Linked DNA regions of Kluyveromyces lactis. The protein of the gene in region 2 interacts with the protein of the main gene of each other region in a pairwise test. Links are inferred from orthologs where the notes say so. Each region holds a gene or a part of one and is shown on either strand. Other genes may lie near its edges. The genes, in order: STE6 and SSM4.

Evidence for each region.
Region 1: the proteins of SSM4 (region 2) and STE6 interact in binary tests that used the Saccharomyces cerevisiae proteins (3 or more experiments, as listed by UniProt). The link is inferred for Kluyveromyces lactis from reciprocal best matches to the Saccharomyces cerevisiae genes SSM4 and STE6.

Annotation. Positions count from the first base shown.
Region 1 is NC_006038.1:1,246,100-1,253,422, reverse strand, and holds STE6 (ATP-binding cassette a-factor transporter STE6), read right to left. Parts: upstream 4,770-7,323; coding exon 954-4,769; downstream 1-953. Other genes in the region: E1 ubiquitin-activating protein UBA1, read left to right, coding at 1-827; OPI3 (bifunctional phosphatidyl-N-methylethanolamine N-methyltransferase/phosphatidyl-N-dimethylethanolamine N-methyltransferase), read left to right, coding at 5,592-6,248; KLLA0_B14190g (uncharacterized protein), read left to right, coding at 6,928-7,323. UniProt on the Saccharomyces cerevisiae protein: STE6 is required in yeast MATA cells for production of A-factor pheromone. STE6 is involved in the transport of the farnesyl-derivation of the A-factor pheromone.
Region 2 is NC_006042.1:2,563,991-2,571,247, forward strand, and holds SSM4 (E3 ubiquitin-protein ligase SSM4), read right to left. Parts: upstream 5,072-7,257; coding exon 2,300-5,071; downstream 1-2,299. Other genes in the region: SUMO protease ULP2, read left to right, coding at 1-2,166; KLLA0_F27709g (uncharacterized protein), read right to left, coding at 5,580-6,455; anaphase promoting complex subunit CDC26, read left to right, coding at 7,165-7,257. UniProt on the Saccharomyces cerevisiae protein: E3 ubiquitin-protein ligase which accepts ubiquitin specifically from endoplasmic reticulum-associated UBC6 and UBC7 E2 ligases, and transfers it to substrates promoting their degradation.

The DNA.
Region 1 (7,323 bases), on a different chromosome or scaffold from region 2:
ATGGTAAACCAGACATTAACTACTATCAATCCGTCCTATCAAAGCTTATAGTTCCTGAATTTATTCCAAAAGCTGACATCAAAATTCAAACCAATGACGATGAACCAGATCCAAACGCGAACAACCAGCTTGGTGGCGATGTCTTAGAAAACTTGGCAGCTTCTTTGCCAGATGCTTCTACCTTAGCTGGTTTCCAACTAATCCCAGTTGAATTTGAAAAGGATGACGATACAAACCATCATATTGAGTTCATTACTGCTGCATCGAACAACCGTGCTCTAAACTACTCTATCGAACCAGCTGATCGTCAAAAGACTAAGTTCATTGCTGGCCGTATCATTCCTGCCATCGCTACAACCACTGCTTTGGTTACAGGATTGGTCAACCTAGAACTATACAAAGTCGTCGCTGGAAAGACAGATATTGAACAATACAAGAACGGGTTTGTGAATTTAGCTCTTCCATTTTTCGGTTTCTCAGAACCAATCGCATCACAAAAGGGTAAATACAATGATAAGACTTTCGATAAAATATGGGATAGATTCGATATTCAAGGTGATATCACATTAAGAGAGTTGATTGATCACTTCAACAAGGAAGAAGGATTGGAAATTACAATGGTCTCCTACGATGTTTCTTTACTATACGCATCATTCTTCCCTCCAAAAAAACTAAAGGATAGAATGGATCTTCCAATAACTGAGGTTGTAAAATTAGTCACGAAGAAGGAAATCCTCAGTCACGTTAAGACCATGATTTTGGAATTCTGTTGTGAAGATAAGGAAGGTGAAGACGTGGAGGTTCCATATGTCACCGTCCATTTGTAATGATTCTAATTTTGTCTGATACCAGATGTAAATTCGTAATTCTATCTCTATGATGCTAGGCTTAATGATATAAACTTACTTAGAAGAAATCATACATGTGAATCAATCGTTATTTAAAATCCTCTGTTAATATCTAGTGCACGAAACTATCCGGTATAGTTCGCCTCTAGATTCGAAGAGCTCTGCATAGGATCCCTCTTCTTTAACTTTCCCTTTTTTCAAAACAAGAACCCTATCGCAAATTTGCATCAATTGCTCTGAATGAGTAATAACAATCACCGTAACATTCTTCAGAACAGTCCTGATGAGCTCTGCAATTGCAAATGAATTAGCTGCATCCAGTGCAGATGTGCATTCATCTAGTATGATGATTTTCGGCTGGCGTAACAACGTGCGGGCGATAGATAATCGTTGGGCTTGACCTCCGGACATTAACCCATCATGAACGCGCGTATTCAAGTCATTCGGTAGGGTTTGTACAAATGATAGTAAATCAACTGACTTTAAAACTGATCTTAATTCAGAGTTTGAAACGTTACGTTTGAGACCATATACCAGGTTTTCTCTTACTGTACCATCAAAGAATTTTGGCTTCTGTTCCACAATTGAAATGGTTCTTCTTAAAGCATACTCATCCCATTTATTGATATCAATACCACCAATATAAACTTTCCCACTAGGTACAGGGTAGAGTCTTGTTAGCAATAATGATAGGGTAGACTTTCCAGAACCAGATTCGCCAACAATCCCGACAGTTTCATTAAGACAGATCTCGCAACTTAACGAGTTGAATATTTTATTCATCGGTGCGCTTGAGAAGGCAAAAGATAGATTAGATATCTTAATCGTCTCTCTGTTGCCCGCTGTGCTAAAGAAGCTTTGGTTCTGTGAGGGATCAGGTTTTGATGTATCAACAGAGCCAGAATCTTCTAGAACCTTAAATATGTATGTAGCAGCCCTTTGTCCTCTGCTAATTTCAGGAACTTGGTTGATCAAAGAAACACAAGTCATAATGGAGAAAAGAAGTAACGTAAACGTTTCGAACATTTGTGCTACAGAATACTCACCTTGAATTACTAATTTTATTCCGAAAAAGAATAAAATAGCTTGGACAACCATAGCTAATGCATTTGTAACAGCTATCCCAAATCCGACAGCAACTGATCTTTTCTTGCATACTATTCTAACTTTCGCCAGTTGAGTTTTGAAGGAGCCCTCAAAATGTTGCTGTAGTTGAAGGAGTTTGATAGTTTTCATGGATATGACAAGTTCATGAACCCTTGTCTCAAGCTCTGCGATTTCTGTCTTATAGGCAGTCTCGTAGACTTGAAGCAATGAACCATAAATACCGGAGAATAAAATAAAGGCTGGAAATAGCGAGATGCATACAAGACTGAGTTTCCACCCAGAGACTAAGGCCCAGATCAAACCAATAGATGCTACAAAAACCAGTGTAGTAATAGCACTCAAAAATTCAGAGGCAAGGCCTCTTAGATCTCGAAGATCATTCATCATGAGGGAATTGAGTTCAGATGAGTTATTCGTAGGTAATTTAAACCAGTCTAGAGATTTAGATGATATTTTTGCCATTGCGTCGACTCGCAACCGCTCAATCCAGACTTCACTACAATATCCAAGTATAAAGTCTTTCAAAAATGTTGATATACCGTCTACAGCTGATATGCTGATCACAATTAGTGACCACTTCATCAGATAATATGAGGAACTGGTGCCTGTATCTTGTGGTGCAATTCCTGTCAACAACTTGGAGAATGTATAGGAGAAAAGTGGATTAGACATACCAGCAATAACAGAGAATAGCAATCCCAGTACCAAATACCGCCTCTTCGGTATTGAATTATTCATTTTCTTCATAATAGCAGAAAGCGTCAAGATTTTTGGTATGCCTTGTTCTTCTAAATCGCATTCTCTTTCTTGTAAGGCTTTCTCTATGTCTAAGGGTTGAACTCTGGACACAACGCGTTTGTTATCTAACTGATCTGTTGATTTTGATGTGTTGGGAAGATGCGGTTCAAGCGCACTCGCGTCGAAGAAAAACCGTGAAAATCTTGATATTGGTTGATGATTATAGGTAGCACTATCAGGAGAATAAGGTAGTTCTACATCTGGACTTACTGGTACTTCATATCTTGTCTCCTGTAGACTGTTTAATTGTGCAAAGTACGAATCTGGGTTTTCTAGAAGATCATATTTGAATCCACTTTCGACCACCGTTCCTTCGCTCATCAAATATACATATTCATCATCTTTGATCTGAGTGTATTCATGAGTTAGGATTATAGTAGTTTTCCCTTTTCGCCAATGTCTGATAGCTTCCACTATTAACTCTCTAGACATTATGTCCAAGGCTGACAAAGATTCATCCAGAATCAGTACTGGAGTATTTCTCAGGTATGCCCTGGCTAGAGCTACTCTTTGTTGCTGACCCCCACTCAATGTCACACCGTGTCTGCCCAAAAGTGTATCAATACCATTCGGCAGATTTAACAGGACAGTGTTTAGTAAAGCAAATTGACATGCTTGCTTTACCTCGGTACATGATGCGTATTTATTGACAATCGTCAAGTTATCTTTTAATGTCCCATTGAACAATGTGCACCTTTGTTCCACTAATGTAATGTTCTCTACTAACCAGGAGTCATCAAGTGAGTCTATTTCGTATTCACCGAACTTGATCTCACCGGTGTATTCGCCATACATTTTCAGTAAAAGACTGGCTAACGTCGATTTCCCTGACCCTGACTTCCCAACAATGAAGCATGTAGCTCCAGATTTAATCTTTATGGAAACATTTTTTAGTACATAATCATCTGGTCTAGTAGGATACGCAAATGATACGTCCCTAAATTCAATATCACCGTCACAAAAGATGGGTGCTAACCCTATTGAAGAAGATGTTGATATGAGAGAACTTCGTTTTTCCCATTCACCAACGGCGGACTTAGAATTGGGAACAAGGAACTGGTTGATACGTTGTATTGCTGCCTTACCCTTTTGAATTGTAACGATCTGCTGCAACGTACTTGATAAGGAAGACCCCAACAATAAACAAGAGGAAAAACATGTAATTACATCCCCAGCTTTCATCTTCCCACGTTTGATTTGTGTATTACCAAACCAAAAACCTTGCACAAACATGCATAGTGTTAGAAACCTTAAACTCGATGCATTCAAAGCTGAGTATAAGCAAGATTTGACAAAGTGTTTGTTACATTTGGATACTAGCGTCTCGAACTTCTTCTGCTCCCAGTAAGACGTGTTGAATAGCCGTATCATTTGAAATGCATCAAGAGACCATGCCAAAACTGACGAGGCCTTTGAAGATTCCAAGTTCTCAAGTTTTGAGAATTTCTCCACTTTCATAGAGAGGAAAACGGCTAGAGTTGCCAGTAGTGGTAAACTGCATAAAATTATCAATGTTAAAGACCACGAATAGTACATTGAAGTAGCGATTAGAGCGATAATTGAGATGACATTTTGAAAGAAAATTGCTGAAGCTTCGGCAGAACTTGCCCTAACTTCTTCTATGCATCTGTTAATCTGGATGAAATCTCCTTCCAGGTTTTCATTCGAATCGTACCATTTTAGATCTTTCTCGAAGTAAAACATGATGAGAGAGTTTCTAATTCTGAAACCCTGTCGTTCTCCTAAAGTCATCCAGGTCGATAAGGAGACCCATGATATTGGAATCACACAAGCTGCCACAGCTGCAATTGAGAATGACCTTACCGTAAGTTCGTGAACAAATTCAGATTTCGTTTTGTAAGTATCAGTTCCGAGAGATTGTAACAGGTTAAATACTCTCCCAGTTAAAATCGATATCACAACTGGAACTAAACCATTAGCGACCGTTGAAACTGCAGTGACAATCAAAACGAAACAATCATTCTTGAACCTAAAATTCTGATAGATGTCTAACATAAGTGGCCTTTTGTCGTTATTAAACTTTTAGTTTCTAACTCTTTTTAATATCACTGAACGCATGAATAGAAGGCATCGAGTAACTAAAAATCCAATATCTAACGATCTTCATTTATACCAATGGGCCAAAACCTCAATTGCGTCAAATAGCCCAATGTGATATTGAAGCCTCATCAATGAAATTGTGTTATTCAGTTGTTTGATGTAACTTCCATAGTAATTACCATAATAGGCAATCACATAGGCGCAAAGAAGCGTCCTTCTCCTTTCTCTCAGCATACCGCAACTTTAACCGTTCCAATATCCAATTCTCTACAACCTGAAAGCAGCCTTTTAAATGCAAGCACCGTTTCCAATGAAGTATCCATATATAGATCATAAAACCTATCACCCTTTTTGTCTACTTTGACACATTGATAGACACCATTATAAGCACTAGAATCAAACTTAAAGCTTCGAAGCCAGAACAAAAACAAGAGTCCATCAGTACTTCATTTTACCATCAAAAATACCAGCTTTAAGTCCACACATCCTAGTCTATCACACCTTGCTTGCAGTATTCTTAGCCCTTCAGCGGTTGTTTTGTTTGTTTGTTTGTTTTGTTTGTTAGTTTGTTTACTTGAAAATTGCGGTTTACCAGACATTTAAAGGATTGGATTTCACATGCAATTAGTAAAAGGGAATATAAAAGAAGGAAGAACAAAGAAAGATGGGACATTCTGCTGTTCAGTTTCGCAACATTTTACAGCTATTGTCACTTAAAAGGTTGAATCAATTGGTTTACATTTGATTGTCACAGTAGCTAGGAACTATCGAGAAGAAATGGATATCGAAACTTATATTACCAATCAGTTTTCTCTTTTCAAGAGATTCTGTGATGAAATCGTCACACTAACCAATTTCGAATCTAGAGAGTATACAATCGCTCTAGGTTTGATTGCGTTCAACCCAATCTTCTGGAACGTCGTTGCCAGATTGGAACACAGCACCCATTTCTTGACTAAGATCGCTGGTTCCGCTAAGAGAGGATGTTATTTCCTAGCAGCTACAATTTTCTCCTTGGGTATCATCAGAGACTATTTCTATGAATCTGCATTGCGCCAACAACCAGTCAGTGCCATGATGACTGGTGACAAATTTACCTATGTCGGTATCGCATATATCGCATTTGGTCAATTGCTGGTTTTAAGCTCTATGTACCAGTTGGGGATCACCGGTACTTATCTAGGTGATTATTTCGGTATTCTAATGGACCACCGTGTGACCAGCTTCCCATTCAACTATTTCGATAATCCAATGTACCAAGGTTCTACTTTCACTTTCCTTGGTTACGCATTGTACAACGGTAAACCTGCTGGTTTGATTGCCACTTTGGTTGTTCACGTGATGTACAACATCGCATTAAGATTCGAAGAGCCATTCACTGCCAAGATTTATGCCAAGCGTGCAGCTGAAGATGCTAACAAGAAGGGCAATTGAACAGAGTAAATGTTACAAAGCCAATTCCACATTCTTACGTCGGGTTCGGGTGTTCATTGTATGTCTTATGTCTGTGTAAATATTGGCATTACTTATCACTACCTATCAATTTAAATAGTTCTATCTGTATTGAATGAAAGGAAACGATCAATATTAAAGAGCGAGACACCAGGAGTTGCTAGTGGATTATCTTGAGCAGTTAAACCGAGTTTAGCTGGATATATTCATACCTTGGTTTCCACAGGGAAAGGACCAAAAAAAAAGGTTTTCTTTGCCCCCTGTGGGAATTGAACCCACGATCCCCGCATTACGAGTGCGATGCCTTACCACTTGGCCAAAGGGGCTGGAAACAATTTTCAAGCATCTGAAGTGAGTTTGACGACCATAGACACTAATGTTTGCGTGCTCCTGTACACGTGATGCAATTTCATCACTTCCTATTGATGCCTACTGTTTAATATCAACCCTGCCCACGGTAAGTATTCTACTTACCATGACCTTCTATTGAACATTTAACGGACGTGTTATGGATAATACTCAAAATGACTAATGTTATTTGATAATTACACTGAAGCTTCTCATAACAATTGGATATCCAAATGTTCAAACCAACAATAATCTTATCCGCATAATAATAGAAAAAACACCATATTGAGGCCTGCTGACCCCAGATTTTACCATGTTGCGTCAAGGGATACTTGGTATACGAAGATACAACACTTTCAGATTACAGTCGCTTTCTGTGGCAAGGAAACGGCCTGCTGTACATACTCATCATGAAGTTGATCATGAATCATCGGATACACATAAAGCACAGGAAGAACTAGATAGCATCTGGAATGGTCTTTCAAGAATGATATACACTCGGAATTTAACGATGTATAATTGTTTCGTTTTGTTTCAGTATTGTGGGAAATCGGCTGATGGTTCATTAGACGAAAGTGATGTCTCCAGATTGTACCATACGTTACGGAGGAATTACAGGACAAGCAATGTGATATATACGGGTAGTTTTAACCAATCGGTATTCAACAATTGTTTTAAGGACGCCATATTACCGGAAAATACCAATGAT
Region 2 (7,257 bases):
ACGCCAGACGAGACAGTATCGCAAGAGAGTTTCTATGGGAATCAGTCTACCTCTGAAAAAACCACTGAACATCCACCATTCATTTCTTACGTTTCTAATTTGAGGCGTGTCACAAGGTCCATATCTGATAACAAAAAACATGGCGATGTACATCATACATCTGATGAACTCATGGAAAGTGAAAACCCGGAGTTATTTGAACCCACCTTATCTTATACTTTCAATGATGGTTCCAAACTCTCGGTAACTAACCAGGACTTCAAATGTTTGTACAATAATGATTGGATAAATGATACAATTTTGGACTTTTTCCTAAAGTTTTATATTGAAGAATCGATAAGCGACAACGTAATATCGCGATCCGAAGTCTACTTATTTTCTTCTTTCTTCTACACTAAGCTTGTAAGTACAGAAGCAAGCAAATATGAAAACGTAAAGAAATGGGTAATTAACTCAGATCTGTTTTCCAAGAAATACGTCGTAGTTCCAGTGAATATGAATTATCATTGGTTCGGATGCATAATTGTAAATTTGGACAAGTTGAAGGTAGCCATAGAAGAGCAGTTAACCAAAAAGCTTACATCAAAAGGAGGTAATCTTAAATCACCTTCGCTCTCAAAAACTGAGGATGACCGAAACTCAAATATAGCAAGTGCTCCTACGAATGTCACTGCAGATAATATCGAGTTACCTACTGTATTCCTTTTAGTCTTTGATTCTCTACGACAAACGCATTCAAGATTAATGGACGCTGTGAAAGAATTTATTATTTCATACGGCAGAGACGTTCATAATTACGATATTCAAAGAGAAAAGCTCAAAGTAAGAACATGCCTTGTACCACAGCAACCCAATATGAGTGATTGTGGTGTCCATGTGATATTAAATACTAAGAAATTTTTTGAAAAACCGAAAGAAACGCTCGATTTGTGGTTTGCAAAGTCGTCCTACAACCACTCTAAACTGGTAAACGAATTCTTTGAAAAGAAAGAACGCCGTTTTGCAAGGAAAACCTTAAGAGATGTCTTATTACTTCTCCAAAAGCAACAAATAGCCGCCCATGGGATATCATTGGGCCAAGAAAAGAATGAAAGCATAGAAGAGAATCATAGTGATTTGGAGATTATAGAAGATTTTGAGGCAAAAGAGATGGAAACCGACACTATGGAAGAAACAGGAGAGACCAATCATCCACCTAATCATAATAATATGCAATGCACTCCAATCGAGGCAAATCTGAATAGCAAAGCAAAAGCGCCTACACCAAATGTCGAGACTTCCATGTACTTCTTGAAATCCACACCATCAATCGAAAGATGTACTCCAAACAATGATAATAAGCATGAGGACCAACTGATTATAGTTCCAGAATCATCCCAAAATAGTGTTGCAAATAAAGATATTAATCTCGGAAATAAATCTGAAAGAGATTTTTATCAGTCTGCGCTTTTAAGTGATGATGACCATCGAAATGAATCAGATTCATGTGCCGATATGATTTCAAGTCAACCACCAGATAGGGCAAACTTTAGGGATCGATGTCCTACGGCGGAATTGGATGACATTGAAGATTCAACTTCTGATAATGAAAAGTCCAAGGTTTATGACATTTCTTGTTCACAACAGAGATGTAATGTGCCAGTTTCACCTGGGAAGCTGTTGAATGAGAAGCTGAAAACTTTGAGTACCAACACTGCGGTTACAAGTGATGCTAAATATTCGAATTGTAGGAAATATCAGACCGTTTCTTCGTTGATCAGACAGTCACGTGCAATTGTGGATAAAACGAGAGATTCTGACTCTAGAATTACACGCTCTGATGATGAAAATGAATGTGGCGGAAAATCTACTGACTCTATAAGGAAACAACTCTCCAATGAACTGCGAGAATCAAATACCGTGAGTTTGGGTAAATCATCGTCATCTGACGGTGGCAAACTACATCAACCTAACAGCTGTAGTCCTTCTAAAAGCTCCTCTCTTCCGTCAGAGGATTTGGTTGAAGAAATTGTGGAAGTACAACCTATTCTTGAGAAAGTTCATTCCAACAGAAAGGATAACAAAAGGAAAATTGTCCATCTCTTCAGCAATAAAGAAAATAAATCTTACGGCAAAAATCCCAAAATACCCAAAGCCAGCTTTTTCGATCAATTTGCATCTAAATAGCTACATATCCTGTTTTCCATCATTTTACTTCCCAGTCGTAAGTAATAAATTTTAATGGTAAGACTAGATAAAATAATTCATTGAATAAAAAAATTTCGCTAATAAATCTATAAAGACATCTTGACTGATCAAACTATTCTTCAAAGTTTTTTAGTATCCTTCCTCTTGCATACACTTCGTCTCTCACACTTTGAGATAAAGAATTGTAAAGCGACTTGGATAAAATTGAGCTCACAGTTAGGAACGCCGAGGAAATCGTCACTACATCAACGTAGTAGAATGCCTTTTGAAATGTAGTCATAAGGGAATGATCTGCCGAGACAGAAGGCTGTATGAAAATGAAATAAACAAATGGTGCCCATGAAGAGGTGTAAACTTGTTTGTGGGTAAGGAATTCAAACATAGAAAAACTATATTGCAGAGCAAAAGGTACCGCAATCATTGCAACGAGGTACACAAAGCATATATCCGTGACCCTAATGAGTAATCTTCTGAATCCTAATGTTTTATTCCGCTTCAAACTGCACTGTACCGCGATGTACGCCACTGCTGCTACTTGACAAAACAATAGAGCAGCTATTAATGAGTAAGCTGAATAGCCGCTGTATTCTGATTTTGATGCGAGGTTCGAAAGGAATGGAACAAACGATATATCAGGGCTTGTGTTTTCGAGAACGTCGCCTTTCCAGTAGAAATCTTTGAAGTAGGTGAATATGAAGACCGAATGATAATTGATATTCAACTTGAAAATGATTGGCATAAAGTAGAATGTAAAGACTGGATACACCATTGTTACAAAGCCTTTGATCAAGTTCCAAACATCACCTTCAGCAATTTCCGGTACTCTAAATTCATTGGCTACTGGATTTTCATCATTTTCGGGAATATTATCATCATTGTGAACTATATGCTGATGATTATCGTCGTTTGGACCGTTATTTGGAACATCCCCATTGTGTTCGGCATTAACCTCCAATATTCTGTCATTTAGATGGATATTATTTAATAGATGTGCGTGGTAGGATGACAAAGCGAGAGACAAAAGTATCATACCAGAAGAAACGGAAAGAAGATTTAATGGTTTTACACTTTCATAGAGTTCATTTTGAAATTTCATTGCTGGGGGGATAACCGCATTCAACAATAATTGCAATCCAGTGATAATGGGAAGCCCAGCAAAATTTGAGATTAATAACACAGCAGTAAACAAAAGGGAAGCAAAGATCCATATGAAGACAATTAACAGCGAATAAGTGAAAGTAAAATGCGGAGGGACATAAACTACCTTATATTCATCAAATTCCGTGGGCTGTTTTTCTAGGTAGCCAAATTCTCCGGCATTTCGTTTCTGTCTTTCTTTGATTTTTTCGATATCCAATGGCTTTAGAAGTTTGTCATCCTTAGTAACTGGGACGAACAACAATTGTGCATATTTTTTTGATATTATGTCGCTCGCAGGTACGCGCATCATGGTGCCATCGGGGACAAAATATGCGTGAACATCAGGAATAGTTTTGAAAAGAGTATAGGTTTCATCGAGCGATTTTGGATGAGAGTATAATTCTAGGTTGGACAGTTTTGCCTTGTTTGGGACGAACCATTTATAGTAAAAGTTCCTATAAATAACATGTCCTCTCTCAGTTGGTGAATCTTTTCCTAAGATGAAAGAGGAAAGTCTTAGTTTTCTGCAGCATATATTGAATACAAAGACCCAATATTGTCTAACATAAGCATCAATAACTCTATTCTTCGAGAGAATGAGATACGTTCCAGCAATGACTGCAATAGAAAACATAGAATTTGGTTTTATGAGAGTTGACAATCCATGCTTCATAGGTAAAAGTTCCGAATGTAAAATGTAAGGAAACAAAAGTCTCGTATGAAATCCAAAACCTACTAAAATGAATGCTGTATAGATTGCCATCGACAATGCAAGTCTGGAGAGTTGAAGTTTCATTGGGTATATCAAAGAATCCTGTAATAGCTTAATATTAGGATCATCTGGTGATCTTATGAAGAAAAGAACACCCGGTCTGATAATATATTGTCTTACCATGCCGACATATTGAGCAAAATGATACATATAAACAGTACCAATCGCCCAATAAATAATAAATGTCATAGGCGGCCAAAAGGAACAAAAACTCGGTACGAAAGTCAAGCTGCTCTGTGGTAATAATAGCGGTGAGATCAGTGACACATCAATCAAAAACCCCGCTAAAATCGGAAATCCGGCAAGTTCAAGTGTAAACAACCCTAGCACTTTCAATGTGCACTTGATGATATAGGAAAACTTGAAAATCGTTCTTTTCAAAGAATTCTTTAGAGGTAGCTTCTTGGAATGCCCTCTAGATAACAGTTCTGGTATACAGCAACAAAGAACTATGAAAGTCGCATATGTACTGGCTGGCGCCAACATTCGTACCAGCATCGTATGTTTTGCTGTGCCTTTCATGTATCCCTGATAGTACGATACTATTGGCATTAAAACTGTCCCATTAATCCAATTTTCAACGTAGGATACCAAAGAAAAAGTTTCTATAAGCTTTTGATTGTATTCTGGGATATTTAACCTCTCTGCTGACACTATTACTCCATTCAGCATTATAATCACAACTCTAAAATAAATGAAATTCAACAGATATCCGACAAGTGTGGCTAAAGCGTATGAAATGAAAAGATATCCACCAATGACAGAAAAGACTAAGGAAAAGTAGCTCGGTAAATATTTGTAATCAAGATTTAAATTCAAGATAGCCGTAGGTTGACCATCTTCATTCTCTAGTACAACCGCTGGTTGAGCATTTATTCCATCTTCTTGTACTTCTCCTTCAACAGGCTGAGGTCGTCCGAGTTGAGCATCCAACCGCCCATCGAGTTCTCTTTGTGCAAAGTGTCTTTCCATAATGGATTGTGAATTAAAAGTACAGTCGATTAATAACTCAGCTAATTGGTAATGATATGAATATGTTGCAGAAGAAATATGATATTGTGATCAGAAGAAAAGAGTAATGCAGGGATCTAATGCGGAAAACTCAAGTTGAAGATTCAGTTTCTATGATATAATTATTCAACTTCAACAGCTATACAATTGTAGCAAAGATTAAATATTGTTAACCTGTTGTACTTAGTTGTGAAACGAGATCAGTCGACGATGTATATACTGATTGTCTGCGCCCATGTTGAAATTTCCTTCTTCAAATTTCAATTTCCATTATAAGCCGGGTAATACCAAATTCATCTTTGAGAATCTAATGGGCTAGCATGTTTTACTAAAGCAAGTGAATGATTTGATGGGACAACGAGGGAATTATATTGTATATAGAAGTTTATTTCGAACTGGAGTGAAGGCTGATGCAATGTTTCAATATGAAGATTATCAATATCGTAAATATTTAAATGGGGGATTATAGTTAGTTGGCAAGCTGAGGCTCATCATTATTTTCGTTTACGATGAAATTGTTCTGTTCTTGTTCGTCTTCTGAAGTATCATCTTCATTTGGATCGTCTTGTCGTTGTCTATTGAGGGCATTTATGAGCATGCTTATATCATTTGGATCCATATTTGGAAATCTTTCTCTTAATGACTGCATGGCCAGCTCTTGTTTTGAAAATCTTGGTCCAATCTTATGCAAGATCATCTTATTGAAAATTGGCTCTCTGACTACCATATCATATTGTAAATATGCGATAGCATGCACGATCAAAACCATCAGAATTTGTAACAACGAAAATCTGTAATTTATCACTAGTTGATATAAAATATCCGTAGTTGTTGGATTTTTTGGTATGTTTCTTTCAAAGCCATAAATCAAATTGATATACCATTTGTTATTTGAAGGAAATGAAAAATCATCCACAGTAGCCGTATATAGCTTCCCCCAGATATTCCAGGACAGGGGAATTCCAATGAAGAAAAGGAACGCAATCAATGTGAATTTGAAATAGTGATTTAATTTGCCAAAGATTTTGAAAACGCTATGTTTCAGAAGAAGTAGAAGTGGGATCTTCTCTGGCATTGATTCATCATACAAAGTTTGGAACGCGATTGGATGATTACAAATCGAACATACCATCCCTGCACCAGGTTTTGTAACATCGACATGTTTTGACTGTAGCCATTCGATCAAACATAATTGATGAATATATTTGATGGAGCCTTTGCACTTGCATGGATGGAACAACGGATTATCGGACGTTCCTTCCAGCATACAAATACGGCAAGTTGGAAAATTCCCCGCATGCTTATCTTCGTAGTTGTGGTCTCCACCATTCATACTGGATGACATTTTTTATCAATTAGTAAACCGGTACTGCGAAGTTCAAATTTGAAACTTGGATAAAAAAATCTTGTGTCTAAGAGGTCGTACTATGGTTTCAACTGTGAAAAATCAAACCTGCAAAGAGATGATTGGGCTGGTTATTATATACAAGAGAAGCAGGCTACTCTGAGCTGTTTAAGTTTCTCTATGCCATAAGAATTGATCGTTATGCGTATAAGTTTTCAAATTTGAATTGCATTGAAATTGTCTGTAAATTACAGACATAAAAAAAAAGAAGTTTAAAAATCTAGGATTCATTCATAAAATAGACAAAAATGGAAAGCCCTGTGGGGGGCTCGAACCCCCAACCTTGTGATTAAGAGTCACACGCGCTACCGATTGCGCCAACAAGGCTATGTAAATTTGTAGATTCTGACTCGCCGTATGGTCAACTACATTGTCCAAGTGTGATCATATATGCTCATTCCTTCCTTCCTTCCTTCTTTAAGTGATTTGGTAAAATGTTGTATCGAGTAAGAGATCTTAGAGTTGCATGTGCGTCATATTGTGTTAGATACGTTCATTTGTAATAGTATGTGAAGGTTTTGCTTTTCCTTTCGCATCATATTTCATCAACCGAATTTAATAACACAAAAGCAGTCAAGTTTCTTAAGATGTCAATTTATATAGCATAACGTAGAATTATAACATAGAATCGGCATAAATACCAACCATTATGCTAAGGCGTGATCCTACAGTTTTATCCTTGACTTCCGATGATATTTCCGAGCTACAAGAACATTTAGAAGAGTACAAGCTCCAACGCGAG